3 linked regions of the Arabidopsis thaliana genome follow. Each later gene encodes a partner of the first gene's protein in a complex. Each region holds a gene or a part of one and is shown in the gene's direction. Other genes may lie near its edges.

What was found.
Region 2: ATE2F2 (region 1) and MYB3R-3 share a complex: the UniProt entries of both Arabidopsis thaliana proteins name them as parts of the DREAM-like complex.
Region 3: ATE2F2 (region 1) and RBR1 share a complex: the UniProt entries of both Arabidopsis thaliana proteins name them as parts of the DREAM-like complex.

What each region holds. Positions count from the first base shown.
Region 1 is NC_003070.9:17,633,102-17,639,156, forward strand, and holds ATE2F2 (winged-helix DNA-binding transcription factor family protein), read left to right. Parts: upstream 1-1,595; 5' UTR 1,596-1,835; coding exon 1,836-2,069; intron 2,070-2,330; coding exon 2,331-2,517; intron 2,518-2,628; coding exon 2,629-2,688; intron 2,689-2,772; coding exon 2,773-2,858; intron 2,859-3,057; coding exon 3,058-3,146; intron 3,147-3,234; coding exon 3,235-3,289; intron 3,290-3,457; coding exon 3,458-3,510; intron 3,511-3,602; coding exon 3,603-3,653; intron 3,654-3,732; coding exon 3,733-3,781; intron 3,782-3,861; coding exon 3,862-3,927; intron 3,928-4,013; coding exon 4,014-4,084; intron 4,085-4,174; coding exon 4,175-4,289; intron 4,290-4,381; coding exon 4,382-4,456; 3' UTR 4,457-4,708; downstream 4,709-6,055. UniProt on the Arabidopsis thaliana protein: Involved in transcriptional repression. May act by repressing E2F-regulated genes in mature differentiated cells, but is not an antagonist of E2FA.
Region 2 is NC_003074.8:2,877,837-2,884,354, forward strand, and holds MYB3R-3 (myb domain protein 3r-3), read left to right. Parts: upstream 1-1,516; 5' UTR 1,517-1,697; coding exon of another isoform or gene 1,698-1,739; 5' UTR 1,740-1,981; coding exon 1,982-2,223; intron 2,224-2,335; coding exon 2,336-2,387; intron 2,388-2,484; coding exon 2,485-2,542; intron 2,543-2,830; coding exon 2,831-2,925; intron 2,926-3,008; coding exon 3,009-3,112; intron 3,113-3,188; coding exon 3,189-3,317; intron 3,318-3,415; coding exon 3,416-4,292; 3' UTR 4,293-4,519; downstream 4,520-6,518. Other genes in the region: AT3G09360 (Cyclin/Brf1-like TBP-binding protein), read left to right, coding at 1-7, 213-266, 354-596. UniProt on the Arabidopsis thaliana protein: Transcription factor that binds 5'-AACGG-3' motifs in gene promoters. Transcription repressor that regulates organ growth.
Region 3 is NC_003074.8:3,911,861-3,921,237, reverse strand, and holds RBR1 (retinoblastoma-related 1), read left to right. Parts: upstream 1-1,878; 5' UTR 1,879-2,350; intron 2,351-2,790; 5' UTR 2,791-2,804; coding exon 2,805-2,888; intron 2,889-3,003; coding exon 3,004-3,108; intron 3,109-3,194; coding exon 3,195-3,337; intron 3,338-3,416; coding exon 3,417-3,513; intron 3,514-3,599; coding exon 3,600-3,646; intron 3,647-3,913; coding exon 3,914-4,106; intron 4,107-4,237; coding exon 4,238-4,304; intron 4,305-4,390; coding exon 4,391-4,570; intron 4,571-4,670; coding exon 4,671-5,726; intron 5,727-5,821; coding exon 5,822-5,984; intron 5,985-6,082; coding exon 6,083-6,155; intron 6,156-6,276; coding exon 6,277-6,453; intron 6,454-6,546; coding exon 6,547-6,666; intron 6,667-6,748; coding exon 6,749-6,881; intron 6,882-6,973; coding exon 6,974-7,086; intron 7,087-7,194; coding exon 7,195-7,310; intron 7,311-7,392; coding exon 7,393-7,567; 3' UTR 7,568-7,889; downstream 7,890-9,377. Other genes in the region: AT3G12290 (Amino acid dehydrogenase family protein), read right to left, coding at 1-142, 251-463, 571-728, 902-1,085, 1,534-1,647; PRMT3 (protein arginine methyltransferase 3), read right to left, coding at 8,116-8,550, 8,628-8,795, 8,883-9,122, 9,207-9,285. UniProt on the Arabidopsis thaliana protein: Key regulator of entry into cell division. Acts as a transcription repressor of E2F target genes, whose activity is required for progress from the G1 to the S phase of the cell cycle.

The sequences.
Region 1 (6,055 bases):
AACGTTAGATAACTTGTAAGATCACTTTTAGAGGCTATAAATTCCTCCTCACCTTTTCTTTTGTATAAAAGTAGAAAAAAGGAACCAAAGTAAACAAATAAAAATGCTATCGACTATTGTAAATTCTTTTTTAGTGTTTCCATATTTTTTTCATTTTTTATTTACTGTTTTTTTCTTACTGCACCATGACAAGTGAAGTAGATTTCGCGTTAGTGCACTTGAAATTTAGGACAACAAAAATGCAACTAGACAAACTTTTTCTGTATGAATATCTAGACGAACTTACATTTATATGGATAATCTTGTTTTGTTTGTTTGTCACAGTTAAACTAAAATATAATATAATTTTTCTGATCCATGGCTACAATAAATTTTAAAAATGTGGATAATATGTCTTCACAAATATTTTTCTAAATAAAATACTCTTTCTTTTTTTTGGCTAAAAAGTTGTCACATGCCATAGGGACGAAAATGTGTGTTTTACATTGTTTGGTACACCAATGTTTCAGTCTCTCAGATCTAAACTAATGGAAATTACGTTGATTTAAGCCATCATGATATCATGAAGGGATTTTTTCTCGTCATATTTGTCCAGTTTTACGAAAACAAGTTAAGGTATCAAACTTATGCGATACGAAAACTCTTTGAAATAACTCAATTATATTTACATTCCTTTAATATGTTTTGTTTATTCAAAATCATGATTAATTAATTCAGTATTTTGAATTCCTATTTTTGTTACATGATGCAATTGGTAATAATACAATGAAAAAAAAAACAGTCCCTTGTGTAGCGCTATACACCAAGTTTGTGTGTTTGTCGTCAATGCACCCATCGCTTCCTTATAACCTAATATAGGTTTTGATTGGTAACCACTTTACAAAACGGTACTAAGCGTTACAAAGTTTTACTCTTAGTTTATTGTACAGCTTAATACCTGTAGTAGAGTTAACAACTTTTGGTTACCAATCAGACCCATAAACATATATTAAGATAGACAAAAAAACATATATACATATATAGTACGACTTCATAAAAGATGGTATAATTTTCACATAATTTGATATTAATTAGATATCACTTACTCAAGTACTCAACTATGCAGAAGCACTCTTCATTCTTCAATTGTTTTTATGAAAATATTAAAGAAAAAAAGCTAGAAAAATGATACCAGAGAAACAAAATGAATCATGGGTTTAGAAATTCATTCTAATTTCTACCTTTTGGCAAAGACCATGAACTCTAAACTACTTTTTGGTATGATAACTGGACCAAATTTGGGCCGTTCATAGAGTTTATTGGTGCAGATGGACCTCGGAGATTAGGACTCCCCTGTAAACTCAATCTAGCAATGCCGAGACTCCGTATTTATAGATTCGTGAACCATGAATGTCGATCATTAACATAAAGCTACAAAGTATGAAGCTCTAGAAGATATGTAAACGTCGTAACATTATTAAGCCCAATTCAAGCCCAAGACCAAGCCCAAGACCAAGCCCAACAAATAGTCAAAAGAGTAAAATAATAAGCGGAAGAAGTTAGGCGGGGCTTAGGCAGAATTCGAAACTCTCTCCAACTTCTTTCGCCCACCGCTCTTTTAACATAATTCCAATATTTCTTTCTTATATTAATCTTTTTAATACAACAAAAAGACACTTTTACCCTTCCTCTTCTTCCCGCTGTTTCCTCTCTTCTCTCTCCATCTTTTTCTCCATCTTCCCTCTTCTCCTTCTTCATCTTCCCCCACAAAAACCTAAATCACGATTCTCCAAAATCGCTTCAAAAAATCACTCTAAATCCCATCTTCTCTACCACCGGAGATACACCGCCGTTACATGGCCGCGACATCAAACTCAGGCGAAGATCCGACTCTCTCTTACCATCACCGATCTCCTTTTCGCTTCGAATTACTTCAATCTATCTCTTCCTCTGATCCTCGTTACTCTTCTCTAACTCCTTCTTCAACGAATCGACCTTTCTCAGTCTCTCAATCGCTTCCGAATTCACAACTGTCTCCTCTAATTTCACCTCACTGGGACGATTCTTACTCTCAAATCACTCAGAAAGTTGTGAGTCTCTTCGTTTACTCAAGTCCTCGTAGATTCCTTCTTTGATTTTGATTCCATTTCCGAACTTGATTTTGCGATAGCTAGGTTTAATTCTGATTCCCAAATTTCGCGAAAACAAAAATTGAATGAAGTTTGGTTTCATTAAGGGAAACTTAATCCAAAATTGGATCTCTAGCTTTCAATTCTCTAATCTCAATTTGCGAATTTAGATTCGTTTTGGTGATTGTAATGCTATTGAGTTGATCTTTTCTTAATTTGCAGCAGAAGAGTAGAAAGAATCATCGAATTCAGCTTGGATCTATTGCCAACATGTCTGGAGGAGAAAGCATAGATATAGCTAAAGTAATAGTGAAACAAGAGTCGTCTCCTCAAAATGTTAAACGTGTATACAACAAGTCAAAGGGTGGTACTAAACTGTTAAAGGCTGGGAAACGAATGGCGAATGGCGGTATCTGCTTTTTCTGATCAATCTCTTTGGCTAGCTCTTAGAATGTGATATGTATTGAAAATAAGAATCTGTTTGTATTCAGCATTGTTGTGAATGAGTTTTTTTGTGCAGAAGTGCAAAATGGTGGCTTAAATGGAGCTAGTATTAACTGCCGTTATGACAGTTCTTTAGGTAACTAATAGTTCTGTTTACTAAGGTTCATGTTTGTATGGAGATAACAACTGTAATTGTATCGGTGTCTCTTTTGTTTGATAGGGTTGTTGACAAAAAAATTCGTGAAGTTGATCCAGGAAGCTGAGGATGGAACACTTGACCTTAACTATTGTGCAGTTGTTTTGGAGGTATGCTAAATGTATCTTAATATTTAAGTTAAAAATGTATGTCTCAACTCGTAGAAGATCTAATTAAGAACGTGGACTAAAAAGATCACTCACCTTTATAACCCTTGCCTTAACTGTTTGATATCTCCCTAGTTATCTTCATCAGCTTGTTAGGATCTCCTCTTATGTGCTTACGTGTTCCTGCGATCCCTCTTAACAGGTACAAAAAAGAAGGATATATGATATTACAAATGTCCTTGAAGGAATTGGATTGATAGAGAAAACTACAAAGAATCATATCCGCTGGAAGTAAGTACACAAATTTTTTCTTTCTTGGATACATTGCAGCGTATATAGCTTGAGTTCGTCTGACTTTGTGTATGCGCTATTGATGCAGGGGTGCTGACAATCTTGGACAAAAGGACCTGGGAGATCAAATTTCTAGGCTTAAGGTTCATTGTGACAAGCATTTTCACGTGTTTTCTTTGTCGTAGAACTTACTGCTATGCAAATAATCTGTCAAATTCATGATTTCATTATTTTTCTGTCTTATAGTTTATTTCACACAGTTATTTTCAAATTCCCCATTACTGACCGGTTACATATCTACGTATTTTCAGTCAGAAGTAGAGAGTATGCAATCTGAGGAAAGCAGGTTGGATGATCTTATAAGGTTGGTTGCTTGTGTTCTTATATTATGTTTGGAGACTTATCCATTGTTCCTTTCCCACATGGTTTGAAGATCATCATGTTATGTATCTCCAGGGAACGACAAGAAGCTCTCAGATCCTTGGAGGAAGATGACTACTGTAGAAGGTATTCGTCAGTTTATTTGAGTTTCATCTTTTTGTATATACACGAGAGTGTTGCTAAGATCAATGATGGAAATAAACAGGTACATGTTTATGACGGAGGAAGATATAACGAGTCTCCCACGGTTTCAGGTCCTCCCCAACTAGTTCTTGAAAATCATCTTATGTTTTCCTCAGTTATTTAACATACTAAACTGGTAGTCCTTATACAGAACCAGACATTACTAGCAATTAAAGCTCCTACAGCTAGTTACATCGAAGTTCCAGATCCTGATGAGGTGAGCGTTTTTAATGCTTTCATATTTGCTGTACAGTTGTAATATAATGTGTCACAAAGTAAAGCATCTGTTTTTGTTCACGATAGATGAGTTTTCCGCAACAGTACCGGATGGTGATTAGGAGTAGAATGGGGCCGATTGATGTCTATCTTTTAAGGTACTTAGTTACACATTCCACTCTCTGTGTCTGGTCTTATCTATATATTTGTCAGTCAGTGTTAATAACTGGGAACAAACATGATCGCAGCAAATACAAAGGAGACAGTGCGGAAACAAGCGACAAGTTGGGTAATGAGTCTGATCAAAAAGCTCCAGTTGGAGTAGACACTCCTTCCTTGAAAATAGTAACTTCAGATACTGATGTAAGTATTTAGATCCACTGATATGGGTTTTGGGATCAGTCTCGCATTTCGTATGTTGCGATTAAGTTGAATTTTTGGTTGTGTATTGCCAGTTAAAAGCAGATTACTGGTTCGAGTCAGATGCAGAGGTGAGCCTCACAGATTTATGGAGCAACTTCAACAGCTGAGAAACAAAGTTGTTTGAAACCTCAAATTCCCAATTACTAGGATGAGGATGAATTTTCTGTTACATTTTACTACCCCTTTTGAGCCTGAAATCCTAATAGATTTTTTTCCTTATAAAAATAAAAGATGCAATATTTTAAGGTCATTCAAGGGATGTGGCAATTATGTGAAAAAACTTGTACTCTAATTAGATATATAATTATACTTAATGGCCTTTTGCATGTCAATGCATACATCTGTTTTTGTAACATGTGTTTATAATGAACTTTGAAATTAATCTTTTTGACACTTTGGGTCCATAGGTTACAATTTGCATGTTCAAACAGAAACAAAGCATCATTTACGAACCACCTGATTTGGACAATATCAAACGTTACTTCTGTCAGAATCATGTCAAAAAACGAATGGTTCCAAATTGAAAACTAGTTAATCTCTCATCTTGTTACATTTAGTTTCAAAGCTCGAAGTCTTGAACGCTAGTAGAGAAAAATATCTTGTGGAAAAGAAGTATCAACTTTACAAAGCTTGATGTCATTCATGAGTTAGATCATATCATGTTTGATGTCATTCATGAGTTAATCATGACCACATTGGACATTGATATCTTGGTGGATCCCTAAATATGGTGCTTGTTTGGATCCCAAGCAATACTTTTCGTTAAATGGCATAACTCTTGCCTAGAAGTAACTGCCTAAAACAGTAAAACGTACCCTAAAAAAAAAGGAATGCCTTTCAGAGGATAATTTTCCTAATATACATTGTTGGATATAATTCTGCTATATAAACTCACCCACACACGAGAAGATTGAAAGCGACTCAAAAATCAAGAACATCGAACAACGTCGTTTTGCCGCTGACTACCATCTCAAACGATTCCCAAACAAATGGCTCAGTTCACTACAACAATATCGTTTTGACCGAGATTCTTGATTTTTTTTTATATACAAACTTTTATGGTAATTTTATTGTTGAAAATCATGGCTAAGCATTATTGGAATAGAAGCAAAACTCAAATATAGCCTGTCAAATAAGAGAAGGTATAGAGCAGATTCGTTGATACATCATAGAAGAAGAGGTAGTGAACAAAAATTTTCTACCTCGCCAAGTCAGTTTTGCTCCTTTTTTGTTTTTGTTTTTGGCTCATATTCAAACTTTAAAAATGCAATGTTGACGTTTCTTCTAGGTTGGAATTGGACAGAGGACAACTTGGTAATGTTTGTACCGAGGTTTTAACAATAAGTAACTAAGGAGTTTGAGGAGAACGGAGTAGATTTTTTATTAACGATGAAGGAGAACAATAAAATTACAGAACGAAAAACCAAAAATGCAGAACGGAGAACCGAAAGTACATAACGGAAAATCAGGAAATATATAATGGAGAACCAAAAGGACAAAACGGAGAACCGAACGTACAGAATGAGAAACCTGAAAATACAGAACAGAGAACCGAACGTACAGAACGGAAAACCAGAAAGTAAAAGATAAAGAGCTAGACAACAATTCTCTCTTAAATTCTACGAATAATAACTTTAAGTCTGAATCCCTTTTCTCAATAGTGTCTTCTACTATTATAGGTGACCTAAAATTTCCTTTGTCTCTCT
Region 2 (6,518 bases), on another chromosome or scaffold:
TAAAAAGGTTAGAATGTCAGCTTCTTTGATACCTTGATACTTGAAAACGAATATGCAAAAAAAGATAAACCGAGTATGCCATGTATCATCTGTTAAAAACCTGGCCTGGAAGTACATAGTCAACAACATGGCTGTCGAAATTATTAGCATTGAAGAAACTTTAGAGTCTGTGTTTCTTCCTTTTTCCTGATTTTGAGTGTTGACTCTTACAGAGACTTAGTTCGGTGATCAACTACGATGTTTTGGAGTCGCTATTTGATACATCCGTAAGTTTTTGATTACCTCTTCTTGTATCCTCAATTCTCATCACTTTTTGAGGTCTTTACAATTTTGCTTCTCTTTTCTTCTTTCAGGCACCTGAGAAATCACCCAAGAGGTCGAAAACAGAGACAGACATTGAGAAGAAGAAGGAAGAGAACAAGGAAATGAAGAGTAATGAACATGAGAATGGTGAAAATGAAGATGAAGATGAAGAGGATGAAGAAGAAGGCAATGTAGAATCATACGACATGAAGACAGATTTTCAAAACGGCGAGAAATTCTATGAAGAGGACGAGGAAGAAGAAGAGGATGGTAATGATTTTGGATTGTATTGATGATATGTATTGTGAAACACAAGAGTTTTAATTTCTTTTGTTTTGCCGGATTAGTTGATTTTATTTGCATTAATATAGGAGAACCCCAACTAAATTTATTCTTTATTATCAGTAACAAATATTTAAGATTTAAAAGAAAAAAAAGTTCACACAAATGATCTATTTATTTTTACAATTCAAGTGGTACTGACTAAGAAATGAAAAACCACTAACTTAATTAATTTAATAAAATCTATATGTATTTAATTTTGATAATTTTATTTTCCTTGTTTATGATAATTCTAATTTCTATCAGATAACAACTAACAATCACTGAACTTATCTCACCTATTTGATGAGCTAAATGTATTTTAAATTTATTTTTCTATAAAGATATAACTGAAACAAAAGTGATGACTTTTTATGAAAATTCCCAAAATCAAATACCAGAAAATTCAATTTTAAACAAAATGTGTCGGTCCGGATGATCTTACATCTAGCTTGGTTTTACAGGATAGTATTTAAGAAGAATCATAAAGTTCATCTCAAACCAAATCCGACGGTCCAGAGTCACCTGCAAAGCTTGGCATCGTATACGTGTTCAGTGGTCAACGGATCAGCTACGAGTGCCGTTTGAGGTTCAAACTTCTGTTTCTGAGGTTAACTCTCTACCGTTAACGTCCGTTAGTGTACCTTCTAACCTTGACGACTTTTCCACTTTCCAAAAGATAACGACGGCGTTAAATTGGTCTATTTTACTGAACCAGCTTTAACCAGAATTAGATTGCATTACATTCAACTCGTGCTTATGGATAAATATCAGTTCGGTTTGGAGAAAATAGGTTACTTAAGGTAAAAAGAACGGCAAGTAACGGTGTGACGTCAGCAGAAGAAGTATTCGTTATAATAGTGAGAGAGAGAGAGATAAAACTTAGGGAACCCTTTTTTATGTTTTATTTTCTCGCTTTGTTTCGATCAAGTCTTCTCTTTCTCTCTCTATCCCTCTCTCTCTGGTTCAACGGGCAAAGTATTTTTCGAATAAAGTTTTGGTTTTTTTTTTAACGTTCCTTTCGCCTTCTTTCTTCTTCTTCTGCTGGTGAATTCGTGTATCTATCTATCTCGATGAGCTCCACTTTTAATCCAGCCGCTTCTTCTCCAGATGAGGTTAGTTTTTGTGTATCGAATCTGAATTTTTAAGGGTTTTGTTCTTGTGATCAGATTCTAGTGAAATTGAGTTCTTTGTTGTTTGGCTCTGATTCGAAACGAATTTAACTTTATTGAAACTATAAATTTTTGTGATTACAATTGTTATAAACCCTAATTTTGCTGTGGTTGGTGTTAATGTTGAGCTGTTTACTGAATTCGTGATTTGTGAGATCTGGGTTCTGTCTGCTTTGTGTTTTACGATGATTGCTTTTTTAGGGTTTCTCTGTTTCTTATCAAAGTCTGGATCTTTTTTTTCTTTCATTGAGATGATGGATCTTCAGGAAGAAACAGGTGAAGTGAAAATTGAGGATCAGTGTGTAGAAAATAAGCAATCAACACCTGCTTCGTGCTCTTCTGTATCTGAAGGCAGTGCTGGTAGTTCCCACAAGTCACCTACAATTGCAAGTCCTGCCACAGTATCACCTACTCATAGGTACCTCGGGTTAGTTCGTCTCCTTCTTCTTCTTCCTTGTTTTGTATCTCCTCCGCAGCACTCGTTTGCGAATTTGCATCTTTTCTACAAGAGATTGATGTTGATAGTGTTTGGTATGCAGGAGGACGAGTGGCCCTATAAGGCGAGCCAAAGGTGGGTGGACTCCGGAAGAGGTTAGTATTGAGTATTGACTAGTGATTGCTTTTGACCAATATCAATTTTGGATCAGTAGTTCGAAATTCAAGATGTGAGTTGTTTTACTTAATGCAGGATGAGACATTGAGACAAGCAGTTGACACGTTTAAAGGCAAGAGCTGGAAGAACATAGGTAAGTCTCTTCTTCTTTTTAGATTCTAGTTCTCATATTAACAAGAGTAATGTCAGTGCTACAACATACTCCATAGATTTGTGGTTCGAATATTAAAGTTGGAGCCTACTTGCTTACAGTAACTATTAGTTCCATACTCTTGTCTCTGTAGTTTTATGAGTTACTCTTGTATGTTAACTTGATCATCTGAGGCTGAGCATCTAGTAGAAAGACTTTCTTTTACGTTTGTTTCCGTTTTGTTCCGTGAAGCATTTAGTATTGTTTGAATTGGTGTATTCATTTTTGCAGCGAAATCTTTCCCTGATAGAACTGAAGTTCAATGCCTGCATCGGTGGCAGAAAGTTCTAAATCCAGACCTTATTAAGGGACCTTGGACACATGAGGTTGATTCTGTTTCTGATTTTATTTATTATTTGGCTTCATTTTTTATGTGAAATACGAAGGCTTAAAGTTTGTTGTTTTGCAGGAGGATGAGAAAATCGTTGAACTGGTTGAAAAATACGGGCCTGCGAAATGGTCTATTATCGCACAGTCTTTACCAGGTCGAATTGGGAAGCAATGCCGAGAGAGGTAGTTAATTCATATGAGCCAAGCATTTTTCTTATAGTTATATTGGAAGCTTTAATGTGTTTTGATATGTATGCAGGTGGCATAACCATTTGAATCCTGATATTAACAAGGATGCTTGGACCACAGAGGAAGAAGTAGCTCTCATGAATGCTCATCGAAGCCACGGAAACAAATGGGCTGAAATTGCTAAGGTCTTACCCGGCAGGTATTTTTACTTTTCTTGGCATGCGTCATTGGAGTTGAGACTTTAGAGAAGGGTTAGCTTCTGGGTTTAATGAAGGTTTTACTTAAAACTTGCTGCAGGACTGATAATGCAATAAAGAACCATTGGAATAGTTCATTGAAAAAGAAGTCAGAATTCTACTTATTGACTGGTAGGTTACCACCACCAACAACAACAAGGAATGGTGTTCCTGATAGTGTAACCAAACGTTCATCGTCTGCTCAGAAAAGGGTTTTTGGTTCAGTTGCTCAAACCTCATCAGTAACTACAGATGTAAACAATCTCGCTGAAGACGGAAATGGCCAAATAAACTCATCTGTTCCTGTCGAAGAAGTAGTAGCTGCTTCACGAATGACTAGTCTTAATGAGTATGCTCGTTCTCCTCAGTTGCCTAACCCAGAGCCATTGCCAGAGAATGGTGGAGCTGCAAATAATGGTTATCATCTGTACTACACGCCTCAAATAGACTATTACAGGGCGTCAGAAGTGGATACGCAGCGTATGTATGGGAATGAATGTGGTTGCAGTCCAAGCGCATCACCAGTTAGCTTCTTCACTCCACCGCCGTGTAGGAATGTGCACAGTAACGGTTCGACTCCAAGAAGTCCTGAATCTTACCTGAGAGAAGCTGGTAGAACTTACCCAAACACACCATCCATATTCAGGAAAAGACGACCCAGGGTTGTTGTTCAGGATAACAACAACGCCAAGAAAACAGATGAAGCTAAAGAGGTTGATCAAAAGGTGAATGATGGTAAGGATAGTTCAGAGATTCAAAATAATGGATCAAATGCTTACAATCTATCTCCTCCATATCGGATAAGATCGAAAAGGACAGCAGTTTTCAAATCAAGACAGCTTGAGTTTATATCTAGAGAGGAAGAGAAAGCTGATGATGAAACCAAATCATCTGAGAAAGATATGTTGATTGATGGAGATTCTCAACTCCTAGGCTAAACAGTGACTAGATGATTACACGCTGAATGTTGTTTCATTGGTTATATTTTTATTTTTGGGTTAATGTTAGAGATGTTAGATGTATTTAGTCCAAAGAATAATTTACACCTCATAGTTGAGCTAGGTTTTTTTTTTCCATAACAAAAAAAAGATCTTCAGTAGTGGGCCATAGAAATTGGTGCATGTTCTTGATTATTTGATTGATATGCGTCTTTGATTATTTGAACATTGAATCATTCGTTCACCGATGTGAACAATATCACTCTGCTTTGAATTTTTTTCTAAATAGACTTTATGATGTCATTATTCAAACGGGTAGGTAATTTACAAATCATAAGATAGTTTCACATTGACAAAAGTGTTTTAGATCAAATCAGCTATATTCTTTGGCAACTCGTCAATCTGAGTACTGTAGTACTGCTCAATGTCCCGGAGAATCTTGATCTCGTCGATTTTAACAAAGTTGATTGCAACACCCTTACGTCCGAAACGACCAGACCGTCCAATACGATGAATGTAGAGCTCACGGTTGTTAGGGAGATCATAATTGATGACAAGAGAAACTTGATCCACATCAATCCCACGTGCAAACATATCTGTTGTGATCAAAACGCGACTTTCACCTGTCCGAAACTGATTCATGATCTCGTCTCTCTCCTTCTGAGGCATGTCCCCATGCATTGATGAGACAGTGAAGTTGCTGCTCCTCATTTTCTCACTAATATAGTCCACTTTTCGTTTTGTGTTGCAGAAGATAACAGCTTTAGTGATGATAAGTGTGTCGTAAAGATCACATATTGTCTCAAATTTCCACTCCTCTTTCTCTACAGAAATAAAAAAGTTTTTAATTCCCTCAAGAGTCAACTCATCACGCTTCACAAGTATCTTCACCGGATCCGTCATAAACTTGCTTGTCATCTCCAAAATCTCGTGAGGTAGAGTTGCAGAAACCAAGCAAACCTGAATATCAGGTGGAAGATATCTGTAAACATCATAGATTTGTTCCTTGAATCCTCTGCTCAGCATTTCATCTGATTCATCAAGAATCAAAAGGTTAATAGCTCTGGTGCCTAGACTTCTCCTCTTTATCATGTCATAGACACGACCAGGTGTTCCGGACACAACATGGACACCATGCTCCAGCTTCCTTATGTCTTCTCCGAGGCTCTTCCCACCAATGCATGCATGCGTCTTATCTGTTTGTGAAAGCCAGCTCTCTTGTTGGGGATAATATCAAGGCCTGAACCCTGCAATCAGAAATACCAACAAATAAGATGAGAATAAATTTGGAGATAACTTGGCAGAAAAGTTAAAATTGGAATTAGGGTATGAGGAAGAGAAAACGTACTCTCTAGACGAAAGTGTCAACGACTTGGCAGACGGAGAGAGCAATCATAGAGGTCTTTCCCGTACCGGACTGAGCTTGAGCAATAACATCTCGCCCTTGGAGAATTGGCATGATCGCCCTCTGCTGAATGGCCGAGGGCTTCTCGTAACCGTACTCGTATAAACCACGAAGAACATCCTCTTTAAGGCCCATATCTTCGAAACTCTCGATGGGATCGACCCCTTTGGTCGTCTCGAAGTCATCCATTGTTCCAACGCCTCTCCTACGGTCTCCACGGCCAGGATTCGCCACCATAATAATCTATACCCTAATCGATCTCTGTTTAAAAGTTGAAAAGCTTTTTGATTTTTTGTATTCAATAGAAGAATGTTGTGAGCTCTAAACAACACCAAAGGTCACGTTTATATAGCAAAAATCCAACACCCTTTTCCTATCAAGAATATGTTTCTAATAAGGAATACCCCGATCCGAAACCGACTTTAGCCATATTATAAAGAAAAATAAAAAAAAAGAACGAATTACATACGTGTTATTGGTTACCGATTTAAATAGAGTTTTAGTAATTTAAAATATTGTGGAGAATCTGTTGTTATTTAATCAAGACTTTTAAAAAGTTTGTTAAAGTTAGGTGTTAATAGTTTAATATTTGTAAAAAGTAATCTAAAATCTTCATAAATTTAGAGTTATTGGATTCATACTTTTATAAAAATTCATTAAAAGTTTGTTTCAAATAAAATAAAAGAATTTATGATTGTTAATGAATTAAATTATTGTGTTATTGGTTTATGACTTTCTACGCTTTTCGTTAAAAAAAATAAAGTCATGAAAAATATCATCAAAATAGAGAGATTGTTTGAAAAGCTAATCAACAACATTAT
Region 3 (9,377 bases), on another chromosome or scaffold:
TTATGAAACCTGCAACTTTTGAAGCTTCTGCGAAATCAACATCTCCAACCAACCGGTATCCTGATTTCTTGCTCGGGTCGCTGACTGCATTAGTTCCAACATCAATTACTGCAGCCCCTGGCTTTATCCAGTTGCCCTTAATCTGAAATGTCAAAACGATAGTATATTTGAATTGTAAACTATTCACATTGATCTACAAGAGGTAGACTAAATTATCTTCTAAATGACAATGAAAATGTATGAAAATCACCATGTGGGCTTGTCCGCATGCAGCAATAACAATGTCAGCTTCCCGTATGATAGCCTCAGGATCCTTGGTGTGAGAATGTACAGTTGTGACAGTAGCATCAGCCTTGAGCAAAAGAAGTGAAACGGGCAAACCAACAATGTTACTCCGACCTACAACAACTGCTCGTTGCCCCTTTATCTTTACGCCGCTTCTAGCTAGGAGTTCCAAACATCCCTGCACACACAGAAAATCACCTCATAGTTGATACAGAAGAAAAACAGAACACTGAGATTTCTCGCTTGAAAGAGACTGAAGTCTATATGCAAAAAAAGGAGAAGTACCTTTGGGGTGCAAGGAAGGAAGAGGGGTTCTCTGCCTTTCATGGCTAGCTTACCAATATTCAAAGGATGGAAGCCATCGACATCTTTATCAATGCTGATTGCACCCAATATATGCTCCTCATTAATATGTTTCGGCAATGGGAGTTGAACTAATATGCCTGCAAATCAAACACCAAAGCTTATATAAGCACAGGAGAGCAAGGAATGTTTGCTTTATACCAAAACGAAAGACTTGCATAGACATTAAAGTTTCTATCTATCCTTAATAGTTTAGACTAATGATAACCGAGAAGACATACAAAATCAAGTATTATTTACCGCCACAACTAACCATGGACATCCGGATTTGAATTTAGTTCATGAACTTTGCTAATAAGATCAGCTTCAGAAACTTCCTCTGGTAGGCCCACGTCAAATGACTTAATCCCAACCTCAGCGCACGCTTTCCTCTTCGTATTCACATAGGTCTGTGAATCCTTTCGGCTCCCAACAATAACTACAGCTAGTCCTGGGACCTGCATGAAGGTAAAATCAGATTCGATTGAATCTCGTACATTCTTGAAACTATATAAAGGGGTCCAACTGAAGCAACTGAACAAACGCACTAAACCATTTATTACACATACTCTCGTTCCTTCTATTTTATTACAATGATATCAAACATTATAAGCTTAGCACACACTATCTGTATAAATAAGATAGTATGCCACTTGAAGTAATGCAGGCAGCTCAAAAATCCAGCGAAACAAAATAACAGTGATCTAACTAAAATGGAGCTTACATTTGACCCTGTTAAGCATTTTCAATAGAAGGTTGTGATCATAGCTGCTTAAATCTAGTCATTTTAAACCATAAAGCTAAAAGAGAGTAAATTTTCAATAGTGCTATCATCTTATAAAAGAACGGAGAATTATAAGGAGAGACATGTCAAGATTAGGACACTGATTCATAAGATGCGTTTACCTTGCCGTGTTTCTCAGATAGACCGCGAACTTCCTCGGCGATCTCTGATCTGATGGTATGAGCAATCGCCTTGCCGTCGATTATCTTCGCCGTGTGATCAGATGATGACGCCATGAGCCACTAGGAATTTGCCTCGTGTCGGAAATATCTAATTCTCTCTCTGGATCCACTCACACTCGAAGATGACGAAGAAGACTTAATCTGAATCCATCCGCGGATAGGACACTCATACTTCTGCAACCAAACGTTCTACAATGGCAAATATGTAATTTCCCGCGTGACCTAAACTAGAAACGGCATCGTATTAAGGGTGGGCCCAATCATAACTCACACGAGGCTTTGTCGCGGTCACGAAAACCCAGACGGCGTTAATGGCCCACTCCGTTTGTTTCGACCCCGCCGTGACGGCGAATCTTTCCCTCTCAGCGTTTCACGCAACAGTAAGTAAGTTTTGGCGGTAAAATTGGGTCACAGATGGGTACGTGTCGATTTAATAGTGGTTGAAAGCGCGCGAATATAATTGTATACGTATGTGTATGTATTCTCCGTGTTGTTTTTCCCGCGCGAGATATATCCTTTTTTAGGGTTTGCCGCATAATCAGACCCCATTCTAGAGAGAGAAGAGGGAAGTCAGGTGAAGATAGAGAGAGACACTGAGAGGAGGGAAAATTTGTAGGGTTTTCGGAGATCTCTGTGATTCCTCTGAATTTGTCGAATTTTTTGGAGGAGGCGTTAGAAGTCGGGCTTCTTAAAAATCAGATCTTCTGCTCAGGCTTTAATCGGCGACGTCTGGTATTGGGATCTGTGACACAAAAAGGTAAGATCTTTCTCTATTGCCTATCCTTTGATTTGAAATCTTATCCTCTAGGTGGTTTATCTGAAATTTTCTATTGATATTTCGCTATTCGATTGTAAGTTGGTGAGAGAATTCTCCAAAAACAAAAAAGAGAAAAACTTTGAATGAATATTTAAGATAACATCTGGGTAAAATTTTTCCGGAGTGGTGGGTTTTAGATTATGCCCCAATTTCTCTTCTTTTTTTCCCCCAAATTTTGTCTTTCTGCCATGTTTTGGGAAATTGGGAGTTTGTTTTCTCATGTCTGTTAGTGTGTTCTTCCGAATGGGTTGGGCATGGTTCCTATTGAATTTCAGTGTGATTAAATTAACAAATCTCTTTGCTTGAAAAGTCCCTTTTTCTTCGTCTTCAGTTAGCAGTTTAATTGGAAGTAAAATTAGCTTGATTTTGCATGTTTTCAGCTGCGTTGGAGACTATGGAAGAAGTTCAGCCTCCAGTGACCCCGCCCATTGAACCAAATGGGAAAAGAAGCGAAGCCTCTCTCTTGGACATATGCGAGGTTTACTCTTCTCTTTGCTGATCTAGTTGCATTTGTTTAGTTGAAGATACCATTTGAGTTCTCTCGGAAATTTTGAGGACTAGCTCTAATCCCTGTAGTTGATTTCTTATTGCAGAAAGTTCTGTCTCTTGATGGGAGCACTTGCGATGAAGCTTTGAAGTTGTTTACAGAAACCAAACGAATTTTGTCAGCAAGCATGTCTAACATTGGAAGTGGAACGGTGAAATACATTTTTCCTCTAACTTCTCTTTTATCAGTTAACTGTGGTTTCATTATGACTAAATCCTTTTTTCTTCTTCTTATTAGCGGGAAGAAGTAGAGAGGTTCTGGTTTGCGTTTATTCTCTATTCAGTGAAGAGGCTTAGTGTGAGAAAAGAAGCGGATGGTCTGTCAGTGTCTGGTGATAATGAGTTTAATCTATGTCAGATACTGAGGGCTCTGAAGCTAAAGTAAGTAGTGTTCAATTCTTCCTTCCTTGTCATTCTTAAATTCATTTGTAGTGACGATTTTCCTCTTTTCTGTTTATAGTATTGTGGATTTTTTTAAAGAGTTACCTCAGTTTGTGGTCAAGGCTGGATCTGTACTGGGTGAACTTTACGGCGCAGACTGGGAGAACAGACTTCAGGTTTTGACTAACATCTTTTAAATATACTTCTACTTCTATTATATCATTGTTAAATATGCTTCTATTAACTAATTTTTACTTACTAGGCAAAGGAGGTGCAGGCTAACTTTGTGCATCTTAGCCTTCTAAGCAAGTGAGTTTAGCTCCCTTCCTATTTTACATTTATCTTTGTTTTGTGTAAGAATAGTTATTGACATAGATTTCATATTTTGGACCTGCAACTTAGAAGCAAATTTTCTTCCTATGCAATAATCAGAATATGGGCTTGCAATATTCCTTCAATTTTAAATTAATTAAGATTTAGAGTTACAGATTTCTGGTTTTCATGTGATTATATTCTGTGAATTGTTTTAAGGACATGTTAAAGTATGATGTTTTTGGTACCTTTCCTTGGTAACAGATACTACAAACGTGGGTTCCGGGAATTCTTTTTGACATATGATGCAAACGCAGAAAAGAACTCAGCAAACTCTTCTACCTATTTGCTGGATAGTTATCGTTTTGGATGGCTACTCTTTTTGGCACTCCGAAACCATGCGTTTAGTCGATTTAAGGACCTCGTGACATGCTCAAATGGCGTAGTTTCTATATTGGTTAGTGACTACCTGTGGAGCTCTCCCTAATCTTTCATTCATTTTAGTCTTGCTGTACATTATTACTTGAAAGATGCTTCGTTTAATATAACGCAATTGAAGTATAGGCTAACTCCTTTTCATGTTATCAGGCTATTTTGATCATACATGTTCCTTGTCGGTTTAGAAATTTCAGCATCCAAGATTCTTCTCGCTTTGGTGAGTGTTTATCTTTTCTTCTATCCCGATAACCATGGCACCATAGAATGTTTATCATCTATTTTCATTTATGTGATGAATCTCAGTTAAGAAAGGTGACAAAGGTGTAGACTTGGTTGCATCACTTTGCAAGATATATGACGCCTCAGAAGATGAGTTGAGGATAGTAATTGACAAGGCAAATAATTTGGTAGAAACCATACTGAAGAAAAAGCCATCTCCAGCATCTGAGTGCCAAACTGACAAGCTAGATAATATTGACCCAGGTTGGTCTAAAATCATTTTCCTTCTTCAATTAAAGAATCATGTGAGTTCATTGAACAGTTGCCTGATTGTTCTTCGAATCTATATGGTGTTTTACTGCAGATGGCTTGACCTACTTTGAGGATTTACTGGAAGAGACGTCCATCTCAACTAGCTTAATTACACTTGAAAAGGATTACTATGATGGTAAAGGCGAACTTGATGAGAGGGTATTCATCAATGAAGAGGATAGCTTACTTGGATCTGGAAGCTTATCTGCAGGAGCTGTTAATATTACTGGTGTTAAGAGGAAAATTGATGCTTTGAGCTCACCTGCAAGGACATTTATAAGCCCACTTTCTCCTCATAAGTCGCCTGCTGCTAAGACAAATGGTATTAGCGGTGCTACCAAGTTGGCAGCAACACCAGTGAGCACAGCAATGACAACTGCCAAGTGGCTCAGGACTGTCATATCCCCGCTTCTGCCAAAACCTTCTCCTGGGTTGGAACATTTCCTTAAATCATGTGATAGGGATATAACAAATGACGTCACACGAAGAGCACACATAATATTGGAAGCTATTTTCCCAAATAGTTCCCTTGGTGCCCAATGTGGAGGTGGAAGTTTGCAAGCTGTTGACCTGATGGATGACATATGGGCAGAGCAGCGCAGATTAGAAGCTTGTAAGTTATACTACAGAGTTCTTGAGGCAATGTGTAAAGCAGAAGCTCAGATTTTGCATGCAAATAATCTGAACTCTTTATTGACAAATGAGAGGTTCCATAGATGCATGCTTGCTTGCTCAGCTGAATTGGTACTGGCTACCCACAAAACAATTACAATGTTGTTCCCAGCTGTTCTGGAGAGGACTGGGATCACAGCCTTTGATCTCAGCAAGGTAATTGAGAGTTTCATACGACATGAAGATTCTCTGCCTAGAGAGTTGAGACGACATCTGAATTCACTGGAGGAACGGCTTCTAGAGAGTATGGTATGGGAGAAAGGCTCTTCAATGTACAATTCTCTGATTGTTGCCAGGCCATCGCTTGCATTGGAGATAAATCAGCTCGGTTTACTAGCTGAACCAATGCCATCTCTGGATGCAATCGCAGCACTTATTAATTTCTCTGACGGAGCAAATCATGCATCATCTGTACAAAAGCATGAAACTTGTCCAGGTAGTTTTATTTGTTTCTGAATTAAAGCAGTTTTCCAACCTGTTGTTAATGGTATGATTTTCTTACCAAAAATTGTCAAATTTGCTGCCATATAGGACAAAATGGGGGGATTAGATCGCCCAAAAGATTATGTACTGATTACCGCAGCATTCTAGTTGAACGCAATTCCTTTACATCACCAGTAAAGGATCGTCTGTTGGCCTTAGGCAACGTTAAATCCAAGATGCTGCCACCTCCGTTGCAGTCTGCATTTGCCAGGTACATTTTGAGTAACTATGAGTAGAAATGGAGAGTTAGTTTACCTATCTAGTTGTCCCTGTACTTGTTAAGTAACCTCTTCGGATTTATGTCTACAGCCCAACACGGCCCAACCCAGGAGGTGGAGGAGAAACTTGTGCAGAAACTGGAATCAATATTTTCTTCACAAAGGTAGGTCTGTGAGATCTTTGGATCTACTACTAATCGTTTGGTTAGATGATGTACTACAAAACACGGTATTGATTCTTCATTTTCGGCTGGGAATTGTGTTAAATGTGGTGGCTCTTCCCAGATTAATAAATTGGCTGCTGTAAGAATCAATGGAATGGTGGAAAGACTACAACTTTCACAGCAAATAAGGGAGAGTGTGTATTGTTTCTTCCAACATGTACTTGCTCAGCGGACTTCTCTTTTATTCAGTCGACACATTGACCAGATCATTCTCTGTTGCTTCTACGGAGTGGCCAAGGTGAGTAGTGTGATTCAAAGGGTTTAACTATATGTCATCTGGTTTACAATGGCTTCTCTTACACTTACACTTTTTCCATGAATCACCTTGTAGATATCCCAAATGAGCCTGACTTTCAGGGAAATCATATACAACTACCGGAAGCAACCACAGTGTAAACCATTAGTTTTCCGCAGCGTTTATGTGGATGCGTTACAATGTCGCCGTCAAGGGGTATATATACACTCTTAACCTTATGCTGAAAAGTTTCTTTACTCGGTGGAGAAGACTAAATTTGTGACAATGACTTGAACAGAGAATAGGGCCAGATCATGTTGACATCATCACATTCTACAATGAAATATTTATTCCTGCCGTAAAGCCGCTGCTGGTGGAGCTAGGTCCTGTAAGAAACGACCGGGCTGTGGAAGCCAATAATAAGCCTGAAGGTAGTTAAGAAAGGCCAGATACTTGTTAGATGTAAGCTTTGTCTATCAATTTAGTCCCTAAGTTAAATGATCGTCTTATTTTGGATTCACAGGTCAATGTCCCGGATCGCCAAAGGTGTCTGTGTTTCCAAGTGTTCCAGACATGTCCCCTAAAAAAGTATCTGCAGTGCACAATGTTTATGTTTCTCCTCTTCGGGGATCAAAGGTAAAGAAGATCATAGTGCTTAACTCTTTATCATGATATGACTAAGTCTTGAGGAGGAGGTAGGTGACAAGATTGTTTGGTTACCTTCCATGTGTTGTGTGTTTGCAGATGGATGCTCTTATTTCACACAGTACAAAGAGTTACTATGCTTGTGTTGGAGAGAGTACACATGCTTACCAGAGCCCTTCAAAGGACCTATCTGCCATCAACAACCGCTTGAACAAGTAAGTAGAAAAATCACGTCTCTCATCAGCTTCTTCCATAAAACCAATCACTGACCCAATCCAATTTCATCTGGTGTCACAGCAGCAGCAGCAACCGCAAGAGGACGCTAAACTTTGACGCAGAAGCAGGGATGGTCAGCGATTCCATGGTAGCAAATAGCCTTAACCTCCAAAACCAAAATCAAAACCAAAATGGAAGCGATGCATCGTCCTCAGGTGGTGCCGCACCCCTTAAAACCGAGCCAACAGATTCATAGATATCTCTCTCTACTTGCTACACCAACTTCTCTTCAGTTATAGCATCTGTAAATCCTTATGTTGCAGAGTTTGCTTTTATGTTTAGCTTTCTAGTTTATAGTGATCACCTCAGGCTATGAGCGGATGGATCCCTTTATTGTTTCTTTTTTCTTTTTTTATCTTAGTTAAGTCAGTCTTAATAAGCATTAATAAATGTCTTTTTCTTGTTCACTCTTTCTAACTGTGTTCGGTGTCCCATCTACTAAATTTATTTTCCACTTTAAAAAAAAACAATTTGTGACATTTACTTAACTTGGAACATATACAGTACAGTTAAGCAATTAACTATAACCAACAAATTGTCTGAACAATTGTCTGTCTTACCTTTTTAGCTCTCTATAAATTTACGCCGCAAAACAACACTTTATGTCGATTTCAGAATAACTTACTACTCCAGCATATTTCTCAAAACTTTCTCAATAGGTTAAATTTAAAACAACCTTGCAACTTATGAAAAAATCCTCAGCAAATTTGCCAGAAAAGAGTGTTACAATGGCTACAATCACATTCATAGATTAAATATCTGAACCGGCCAGTGACGCTTCTGACCCTTTGAGCTCAGCCCAGTAGCCTCTAACGAGATGTCTATGCTGCGATGCTCATGTGCTCGTGCAACACTCACACGCAGATGAATGCTTGAGGCGGGACACTCTTCGGTTCCGATGGCTTCTCTTCTGTCATTACCAGACAGAACCGAGGCCGGTGCCACTGAGATTGGTTCTTGAAAAGTTAAGATTGTCTGAGCCCAGTGTGTTGGGGGAGTGTAGGGTGATGTGGATAGTACGGTTGGGTTTTCCTTACAGAACCTACTGGTGAAACCTGTGTCAAACCACAACACAACACCATGGCACAACCTAGTTTTTGCTTCTGACTCAGTGGGCTCCAGCGTTGCCGTTGCTGTGAAATCTACTTCATCCGGTTTCATGGTAGCCAGGTCAAATGTCTAGAAACAAAGAAATTCAAGGAAATTAATTTCAAAGTTTTTCCTGGCGAAACCAAATAATGTGTGATCTTTCAAACCTGAAGAAGGGTAGGCTGTGTCACTAAATCACGCTCCGCTATAACGTCAACAATGGGAAGTCGAGTAGTGTCGTCATGTATCTCCTTCCCAATTGAAGACATGTCAAAGCCATAGACATCTTCCCAGAAAGGAAGACTTGTTGCACCTTTTCCAAATCCCGCAACAAACTGATCCAAGGAGAAAACAAGGGATAAAACTCATCAAGATGATTTCATGAAAAAGACAACATTTGAAGGGCAAAAGATAAGCTTTACCATAGTGGCCGTGTCAGGGAGGATTGCACCTCCAGGTTTCAACCACCGATCTCTTGCATAGAGCACAGAACTGAGCATTGACTCATATAAAAGGCAGTATCCCATCCATTCGCTGACTAACACATCAACACTATGAGGCTGAATCTGTATCGATTTATCTAGCTCTTCTACCATTGAGTGTGCAACTTCAAGTACCCCATTATGCTCGTTATCATTGAATACTTTGTTATCCTTCGCAATCTGCTAGAAACCAGGTAAATAATTGATATCTATGAGGAAAAAAGAAATAATGAAAATCTTGTAACAAGTAGAAAAAAAGGTAACCTTAGTTGCAACTTTGGCCATCTTCTCACTAGCTTCAACTGCAACTACCCTTGAAGCCCCAGCTTTAGCAGCAAAAAGACTGCAGACAAAGGATAAATGGTTATTGCATGCAAACTAAAAATAAGAAGTACCAAAAGTTTGACTTAAACAATCAAAGGATCTGCATATAGG